Neodiprion lecontei: one gene and its partner. The protein of the gene in region 1 interacts with the protein of each later gene in a pairwise test. Links are inferred from orthologs where the notes say so. Each region holds a gene or a part of one and is shown on either strand. Other genes may lie near its edges.

The links. The genes of interacting proteins can lie anywhere in the genome.
Region 2: the proteins of cytoplasmic dynein 1 intermediate chain (region 1) and dynein light chain roadblock-type 2 interact in a two-hybrid assay, tested with the Caenorhabditis elegans proteins (3 studies listed by BioGRID). The link is inferred for Neodiprion lecontei from reciprocal best matches to the Caenorhabditis elegans genes dyci-1 and dyrb-1.

What each region holds. Positions count from the first base shown.
Region 1 is NC_060260.1:9,421,284-9,427,167, reverse strand, and holds the start of cytoplasmic dynein 1 intermediate chain, read left to right. Parts: upstream 1-2,291; 5' UTR 2,292-2,448; intron 2,449-2,464; coding exon of another isoform or gene 2,465-2,493; exon of another isoform or gene 2,494-2,695; intron 2,696-2,783; exon of another isoform or gene 2,784-2,861; intron 2,862-2,923; exon of another isoform or gene 2,924-2,942; intron 2,943-3,157; 5' UTR 3,158-3,172; coding exon 3,173-3,274; intron 3,275-3,382; coding exon 3,383-3,479; intron 3,480-3,762; coding exon 3,763-3,868; intron 3,869-4,145; coding exon 4,146-4,279; intron 4,280-5,884. Other genes in the region: proliferation-associated protein 2G4, read right to left, coding at 746-830; MICOS complex subunit MIC13 homolog QIL1, read right to left, coding at 1,366-1,563, 1,652-1,811, 1,873-1,928.
Region 2 is NC_060262.1:42,171,336-42,175,631, reverse strand, and holds dynein light chain roadblock-type 2, read right to left. Parts: upstream 1,916-4,296; 5' UTR 1,761-1,915; coding exon 1,758-1,760; intron 1,695-1,757; coding exon 1,616-1,694; intron 1,506-1,615; coding exon 1,294-1,505; 3' UTR 971-1,293; downstream 1-970. Other genes in the region: XK-related protein 7, read left to right, coding at 4,232-4,296.

The sequences.
Region 1 (5,884 bases):
AAATAGGAATTTATTGGAACCACACATGCAGTGAATATGTTTAGTATCATAAAATTTTATTCAACGTAGTGAACACGCAGCCAAAACATCTTTCATTTCACTGCAAGTTAGATAAAAATCTCTCAAGTTCAAACGAATTACCCAAGCTGCTTGTAAGTAGTTCTGAGGGATTAAATTTCGGTACATGTGATGCCGAACATTTGAGAAATTTGATCCAGATGAAGATGGGTAAACTATACTTTTGGTAAAATTAAAAAATCTGATCAATGCGGCTTGTATGAAGGCAACTGGTACATGCGGTAAACAAAGTATTTATTTTTTTTAAGAATACCGAAATAGATTTCTTTGCAATAAACGTATATAAAACTCTATTTTAGTACGCAAAAAAGAGTAAAATTAGACTGTTGTCAATACGAAGTGAAGCCAGGCTTGGTGCATGATTTAGTTTGTATGGATAAAGCAAAGATGTGAAATTATCATCCGGTTTACGTGTTAATCGAACCATCGATTTGGGGTACGAAAAAATAGCTGTGACATATCTAACTAATTAACTATTAATTGCGAAACGACGTGAAAAAGTTCATTAGGCACGACGCCAACCCACATGGCCAGGAGGCCCGGCATTGGCGCGCCACATTCCATATGGCCATCGGTAATTTTATTCGAAACTCAAGAGATTCTCGTTGTTACGGTGGATATTTTATGTTCATTAAAATCCTCATTTTATTCTGCTGTATTTTCTTACGGTTTACTATATCGCCGGCCATCTTATACTTGGTGACAACCAAGTCCTCGGCGATTGTCTTCTCAGCCTCCTCTTTGTCCGCCATGTCTTCTGCACACTGACCGGTCACGTGACACAATTGCTCTTGCTTTTCATCCAAGAATAGATGGCGCTCTGGACCAAAGACGCTCCCGGCGGAACCGGAAACATGGCAACGGAAAATCCCTGACCCGGGAGTTGTGGGGGGAATTTAAAATTGTTTCGATCTAATTCCACGCAGCTGCTGAATATAATCAATGATTTAACAAAGAACCTCCAAAGTATATTTTTCAGGTGGTCTTCTTCGATAGATCTTAAGATTCGAAGTTTTAATGACCTATGTAATGTTTTTCACCTTACTGCGCAATCATCTGTGATTTCAACAACTTTGTCAACTTGGTCTTGTAAAACCTTTCACAACTTCATCGGTAGATCACTAGGGTAAATAAGATCGCTTGTACGACACAGTAGGGTATACGTGAAATAATTCAGGGAGTTGGTTCAGAGTTTGACATCTCCTTTATTTACACATGGAACTATGCATTGCCACTAATACGACAATAAAATAAATATGTTAATTATTTAAAACAAGCATTCAATTCTTAAGCCTGAGCTGGTTTCTCGGGGGTATTGACAGAATCTATCGCACTAAGAATAGCGCCTTTGATTCCACTCGCCTCGATTGCATTAGATGTGTGTTCAGGTAAATTCGATATGAACTTAAATGTTGTAATCACGCCCTTGTTCCATGAGGATTTAACTAAGCACGTAATGTCTGTGACACTAGGCAGTTCGGGAAGCTAGAATAAAATACAGCGCCGATCAATTAATTGAAATTTCATATTCTAACACATAAAACCATAACAATACTCGAAGCCTAAGGTCTACCTCTGTTGCTACTTCCTTGGGAATATTTCTTTTCACGTATGGTGCTATGTTGTTGTACATTCTACCATACAGTTTTACAGTTTCCTCTGGATCGGACCAAAGACCTTCTCGAATTGTGTAATAAGTAAAGCCACCGGCTACGCTGGCCTTCACAGCAAATCTGTAATGTAAACTGAGATGTGTTATTCCATCCTTAATCCAAATTCTGTCTAGTCAAATACCGTGCCAGCAGAGCTTCGTTAAACTTCAATGCATATACTAACCGCAAGACGCCCATTATTTTATCTAACTTATTTTTTTTTTTTTTTTATAATTTACTTTGCAAAGAGCGATTAACGACGGATATCACCCACGCAAGAAGTCGATTATTCGGATTAAATTACATAAATGTCGTTTGTAGGTTAGGTTAAGTTACGTCTGCGATCGGTATCTAAATTCTTGATACTCCGTGGTAAAAGATGACAGCCGGAAGTGAAGAAAAGAAAACACCTTCAAATACTATTTATATATTTAATATTATTATTGTAAAGAAATACCGTCAGATGCAAAAATATTAGTTTTGAATACAAAAAATATATGCGTGTGTTTTCATCCATAATTCATTAGTTGTAATGTCTCCTTTGATTCACAGCGTGGAAAGCGAGTCCGGAGTATAGCGTGTGAAGGAAAATGGATCCGTACGTCAGACGTAACGGGTAAAGAGTCGGTTGACGTTTATAGCGAACTTCTTAGTGATTTTTTTTCTTCTAAAGTATATAATATTCGGTGCTAAGTGAATTTGATTCTGATATTTTAAGGTAAATGATGATTTACTTCGTGATTATTCGGAGCTTCGTACTCATCTTTGAAACTTTCGAACCCGTACGGTTTGCTAGATCGAGCTGCTATCCGCCTGACACACGCTGAGAATTCTAATGATTTTTCGTTTATGGACAAGAATGGAATAGAGTTTACTGACAATACTTTTCTCGTGCTGTTATTAAATATTCCTTCACTTACGTCATTCGTGAATCATAACGTGGCATTCAAGGTGGATACACATAGGTATACATATGCACATATCTATAGGATATGTATGATAAGAAATCAATAACTCTTTACATTTGTGTATCTACCCTATCACGAAAGCGTTGCATTGAATTTCTAAAAGGCGGTCGGCGGTTACCGGTACATTACGAAAATACGATTTTTCTGTATTCAATCCGGAAATGTACGAACATATTGGTCTTAACCCCCTTTCCCATCTAAAATAACGTTTCCTCAAGCTTTTGACAGTTGTCAATGCTATTAGGTACCTGAATCCATAAGAATTTTACTTAGATTTAAACAAAAATTTTCAAACTTTTATGAAATCTGTTTCATGGTTCGTGTTCACCTATCCATACGATACAAAAGGTTCCCACTGAAATTCAGTCACATCTGTTCGTTCAGTGTACAGGGTTAATAAACAAATATCTTATCTTGTTGCAAATATTTACCTACGAATCTTTTTTCATCACAACGAAGAGGGGCACTGCTGCAATGATGTCGGATCGAAAAGCAGAATTAGAACGGAAGAAGGCCAAGCTGCAGGCGATTCGAGAGGAAAAGGAAAGGCGGCGTAAAGAAAAGGAACAAAAAGATGTAAGAAGAAAAATCGAGCGGCAGAACATCACTGATTAGGGATTTCTTCTCACCAGAATATTGAATTCATTCTTCTCTTATTCCAAAATGTGTAATATTTTTTACAAGGTTGAGGAAGCGACTGTACGAGCTGCAGGTGCCGATAAAGACCATCGGAAAGACTTAGATGCCATGTTATCATCCCTTGGGGTAGCACCGGTATCAGGTAAAAAATGCAGACTTTGAAACGTATTTCACGCTGTCGAAAAATTCCTCGTCATACATTATTAGTGGATTTATATTTAAATATTGCAATATAAACTGAATTATAACCATTTTATGTTTGTCAGTTTCTGTGACTAATGAAAGACTATGTTTTGTTCATATTTCAGGTAAATTAGAAAAACCTATCCTCTGCTAAGATCAATGTTTAGAAAATTTCTTTAGTCAGGCTTCAGTAATATTATCTAAAAAATGCCACATTTTATTATACATTTATATGCTTACAGATGTATTATCCAGTCTCTCTAGTATGAACTCTTTGACGCCAGAGCAAAGTGCCAATGCTACACCAGACGCAAGTTTACAACCTTCCAGTATCAATTCTGTTCAAAGGTATTTTTGAAGATTGTGGGCTTCATATTTTATTTGCATAGTGTTTAGTTATTGGAGGTGAATATTTGACTTCGCAATAAAAGGGGTAGAGAGTAAATTTTTCATAACTGTTCAATGTAAAAATGGTATTCCAATTATAATATGTAGATGATAGCTCCTATTGATGGTATTGTTGAAATAAGGTTGAAAATGTATTCGGGGAAGAGAATTTCATTTGATTTTTTGATATTTGATCTGTTCAATAAGACAATTATTCAAATCTTTTATCCGTCTGTAGTATTCCAGGAAGGCGGAAGGCTCCACGTGATTTAACAGCTGTTTCTGTGGCGCATACCGATATACCACCCAAGGAACCTGTGGTATATAGTAAGCAGACGCAAACTGCTCAGACGACGCACACTTCACACGACGGTGAGTCTTGTTTTTAATTATGTTTTAGCATTTAAAATAGGTTTAACATCTTCAATATAATCAGAAAAGACAGGTATTTGGTGTTATCGCACCAATGTCAACCGTACCTTTTCTGTTTTGAGTTCAATATAGCACACAATTGATTTTGGAATGTTAATGCCGTGTACCATTTTGAAATTAAGTTAGTTACAAGGTGAAAGTAATATTCTGTATTTGAAATTTAACCAATAAATTAATATTTTCATTAGTCAGGATTCAGGTTTGAAGTTGTTATGGATTCAATTGCAACAATTGTTGTCCACAACAAAAGAAATTCAAGTTTCGGGATAAACTAACTTGAATCCTGATTATAAAATATTGTTAAGAAAGTTAGCAGCATTCAACTTTGGGATTGAATGACGAATATGGAATGAACTTTGTTTATTTTTTCTAAACAGTTCTTATATCACCTTTTCAATTATATCTAACAGTTTCATGAGCTTTGTGATAATCAGCTCGCGTGTTAACGTAATTTATTAATTTTTTTTTAAATTTTCGTTTTTAATCTCTGTGAAACTGAACCGTACTCTGTTATTAATGACAGTCTATACATCTTATGTGATTTAATTTAGTTAATTTTTATGTTAACTCTTAGGATTTTCTACGATTCTTACTTTTAATGCAAATAATTTTTCGTTATAATTGCATAATGTAACATGCGAGGAAACCTACATATTCACACGACACGTCGGTATGAAGAATTTTGTTTCCCTACCTGTGATATTTGTTTAACACTCCGTCTTTGGTTATAATTTAAATTGAGTCCAGCAATGTTCGCGGAGAGGCATTACATAGTAAAGAAATATCATTCTGATCGGATTACTATTTCATGTCAGAGCTTTAAGATTTTCTAAACAATTGCAGAATTCAGTCACTTCCACTTTATCATGTAACAAAGTAGCCATTTCCATGCATTGTTCAATTGAGCACAATTGAAAATCATTCAAAATTTAATTAGAATTATATTTTCAATTCTGTAACTCGAACTTTAAAAAATATTTCAACAGCTTTAATTCATATTTTCATACTCGTATCAGATTGAATTACAAAACAAATAATGTTATAATGAATTATTTCAAGGATATGTATTACGTATAAATCAATGTCAACAAATTGATAGAGCGTATGAAATTCGATTCAAGATGCACACTTTAGAAGTATAAATACCTCTCCACCACACAAACGTACAAAGACAAGTAGTACATAAAGCAAACGTATGTACAGAGCGGCGAATTCCGGACGCAAAGCTCAAAGGCTTATACTGCCTTGGGATTTTTAAAGAATGTGAAAAATCAAACTCCCAATGAAATAGTTCTTACAAGTTAAAACCTCAGGAATCAGGAATAACTGTTAATAAAAGGGTGGTAACAAATGTAGTAGTGATTCTAGAGTTTGGAATAAAACTTCAAGTAATGATATGTATGATTTGGATTATCAGTATTTGGCATTCAATAATGTTCGTGTTACATTTCGTAGTTGGTCTGACGATTTTTCAGGACACAAGAGCATTATTTAACACTCTATCATATTCATCGTTTGAAATAGGGTTTATTTAGTACAAATATT
Region 2 (4,296 bases), on another chromosome or scaffold:
TATACCTAGTTGCCATCAATCTTCTTCTTGTACTCCAATGAAGTTTAATTTCACAATCGAACAATGTATCCAAATGATTGATATTACATAACTTGATTGGATGATAATTGGATTGAAGAAGAATTTAGTTTTCAAAAGGTCGTGAACACCTAGAAAATTAACTTCAAAAATTGAAGCGCTCTCACTTTACAGTAAATCGAATTTACGGTATTTGAATCTACAACGTGACATATGTTCTGATATAAATATATAGGGTGGCTCTAATTAGATTCTTTCTGCTATTACACATACATTATTTAAGAATTATTTTTTAAGAATTTTATCTTTGAAGCCCATAAAAACATGCAAACCTAAGACTTCTTCTAGTAAGCTCTAGTTATAAAATTATATCCTTTTGCAAAAAGTGGCACAAAGATGGGATGGTGGAATATTAATAGATTAAGTAGAAGGCTGACTTACGTGCTCCTTCAGTACACATGTATATATTTATATTATACAAATATTCTTGTGTGAGGTGATTACAATAATGGTATAAATAGTTGGAATATCAAGTTCCTGCTAACTCTTAATAATATTGTGAAGTATGCCTTATTCGTACAATCATTGATATGGGTAAAAATCATACCCAGCTGCATTTCAGTGTTTGAATAATTTTTTTTTGTTGATCTGATTTATTTTTCTTGAGTGATATTTTACTAATGATTTACATAGAATCTAGTCCAGCTTATATTAAAAAATGCCATAGTAGGTCATTTTGAACAATATCGTAATGTGAATGAATACTTTAAAGGTTGAAACAGTTATAATTTGTATCTCCATCGCATTTCAAAGCTCAAGTATTTGTCAATTTTGACGAAACTTTACTTTCTACCCAGTTGTAAAGAATCTAGTGAATTGTAAATATATCGTTAATGTAAGTGCATGTCGTTTTGATACATACTCAAAGTCATTACGCAAATAACAACAAATGTATTTATAATAAACTTTATTTATATCAAATATCGTCGACATACACTCAACAATTTTAAATTCACCAACATTTTTTTACATTGAAATAAATTATAAACAATAGATAATGGACAATTAATGTATATAAATTATTTAAAATTGTGCCAACAGTTTGACAAGAGCAGTAGAGAATGTGAGATGACGAGAAGAACGGTATTAAATTTTTAGCAGCGTGCTCAGTTAAATTAACTTTTAGTATCTAATTAGAGCAGTGTTGCTCATATAAATTATGTATTACAAAATTGCATGCAAGGCGCAAAAAGAATGCAAAAATTATTTATTCTGTCAATCGACAGGATTTTGCACAACTATAAGTATAAATTCTTTATCCGGGGCGACCATCACCTCATGCTTCTTGCTTCGGATTCGCAAGAAAGTGAGATCATTAGTGGGATCCAGATCCCGTACCACTGAACGAGCTTTGTCGGATAGCTGACTAATCAGCCCTGCATATTGAATTGTTGTCGTGTTGTCTAACGTCGATTTTATTGGAATTCCTACAATCATTATCTCGTTTAATATAATTTTAGTTGATTTTAGAAGTAACCGAATTTGTTTTGTTTTTTCAGTAATAAATTAAAATACACAAGACAGTGAAATGGTTAACCTTCAGAGTTGACTACAATCGTTCCAACCACTCCCTTGTGGGATTGAATACGCTTCATGGTTTCCTCGACTTCTTGTGCCTGTAGAGAAAGAAGTTATTATAGATGCATCATTTATTTACTCATTGAATTATATTGACGTACCATCTTTACAGATTAAATTTCAAACCGCAATTTTTCTGTTAAACGTCAGTGTTAACTCTTCCGTCTTTACGGTATATTTCCAAGGCAACGGGCAGTCTTACCAGTCGATATTTTCAGAATGGTTTAGGTTACGATGACGTCATAGTAGTAAGATAGCCAGTGTTCGTAAACGCATCGGATACATTTACTACGGGCAAGCTCCACGCGGCTAATGATTGTTTTCTATACTTCACGATGATTTTATGGCCGAGGAGACTGATATAATAGCTTTCTGTAATACCGGTTTGTCTATGTACCGATGCAAAAACGCGTTGCCGATAACGTTATCTTACAGAGATTTCAGGGTTTACGCCTTGACCGCCATGACGTCGCGTGCAACGGTAATTCAGTAAAAATTTGACTGTTTAGTGCGCAGCTCGCCTGATTTTCTGACGAGTAAAAACTTACTTTCGAGAGGAACTGATGAATTTATTGAAAAAGGAACAGATATAAAACATTTCGATCATTTTTTACTCGATTATGTAATCGATAACATTGTACAAGCCTTGACACAATACATAAAACACTCCAATTGCACCTGTTTGAATACTGAGTAGATGGATTTTGGACAGGAAATTTTAATAAAATGCTGTGGTCTTTTATCTGATTACAGAATTAAACTACAGCAATATTGATCGAGGTTAGTGATCATCTCAATTGATCTCTGGCAATAAATGTTGGAAAACAAAATGCAGAAGCTGAACAGGTCACAATGTTGTGGTAGAATAAAAAACAGGTATGAATTTAAAATCATTCCCGATTATACTATCACACCACTTTTACTTTCAATTTAAAAATTTATCTCTGAGTTGAAATTTATTGCTATCCAGTCCTTGATTATATTTTGTAAAAACAATCGTCAATTTCCAATGGTCTGTGTATGAATTTGGAAGGTGAAATAGTAATCAGATATTGTTTTCTCTTACCTGATTACAGGGACAGCCTACATTGTATCACTATTGATCGCGTTTAACGATGCTCCAAATGAAGTAACCCGATTAATTGATCTCTGAGAAGAAAGTGAAAACTAGACCAACCATTATAGCGAATGAAACTAGAAGGTATGTACTTTAATTAAGAAATAATCGATTTTATCGTAAATGATGTCAGTTAGTAAGTTTGCACGTATTTAGGTAAGGGTATTTCTCTAGGATTAGTCTAATTACGCAGCGTATCTATCAGTAGAAATAATGTAGTGAAAGACTGTTGCCGCGAATGATATGGTTGGCTCGACATAGGTTTCGTCAGTTTAGGCACTTCCGTCGTTATTGCTAATCATCCGTTTATCTATGTCAGCTAATCAATTTTTTCCCCTTTTTTGCAAATTATATATTTTATCCCATCTAATTGTAAGCTGAGTATAATTTTTTTGTCTGTTTCAGCTACTCAATTTTATTCACTGAATTGCTTTGAACAGAACTTTGTAGTCAAGAATCTATTCGAATAATCATCTGTATATGATTTGTTAATCGATGAATGAAAAATTTCTTCCGATACTTATTCCGTTGGACGTAATATGCCGGTGGCTGTTAGAATACATTTTTTTCAAATGATTGTTACAGAAATATCTAAATACCTATATTTTCTGGAACGATCGATTTTGAGGTTCCCTTGGAACCCATTCTCGCCCTTTGCCATACTATTCACCTTACTGTCTTTAACTTCGTTAAAATACAAGCCTAGTGTTAAATTTTTTAAAATTATTAATAACTCTCAATGAAGATTAAGACGCAGTACGGTCAGCACAGTGCTTTATAATCAATATGCCGATCGCATACCGAAAGTCTACGACAAATAACGCGATGAGCAGTTCTACGCAAGCACTTCTGTGCGAGGATATTACTTCTGATCACAGCTAGAGTCGAGTAGAAATAGCCAGTAGAATGCTAAAGAGCGTTGGCTTGGTTAAACATATGATTATGTTGTAGTTCAAGTCGACCGCTCTAGCTAAGAATATAAGTGCTGTTCTAGGTATTAGGAGTTTGATGCATGTGTCAGAAAGCACTGCGAATTGTGTTTTTATTATCCAGAGAGGTCGAAGTGATCGCTGATTCATTGGGAGAAAATTAAATAATTTGGATCGCGGTCGAAGAATGTTGAAATGTTGAGTTAGCGGATAAATTCTGCAGTATTACGTATTCGTGAATGTTAGCGCCGCCAAACTTGTGATCGTGAACCATTTGGTTGTGTCGGTTGCGTGAGACGCTTCTGGATGAATTTCGAAGAAACGTCGTTACACCAGATAGCGTATCATTGCGAGAGTTATTTGTCGAGATATTTTTTCACTTCGTGAGTATTGGTGATATATATATACCGGCTTATTGCGACTCGGAGTCACTTCGAGCGTCGCAACCATCAGAAAAGTTTGTACAGTACAGTGTAATACAGTGTAATATGAGATTGATCAGTGATCGATTATTCTACCATACTCCAACATGTCAGATAAGCAAATTGGCATGGACCTACAAAAAGCGATTAAAACGGACGTACTACGAGCCGT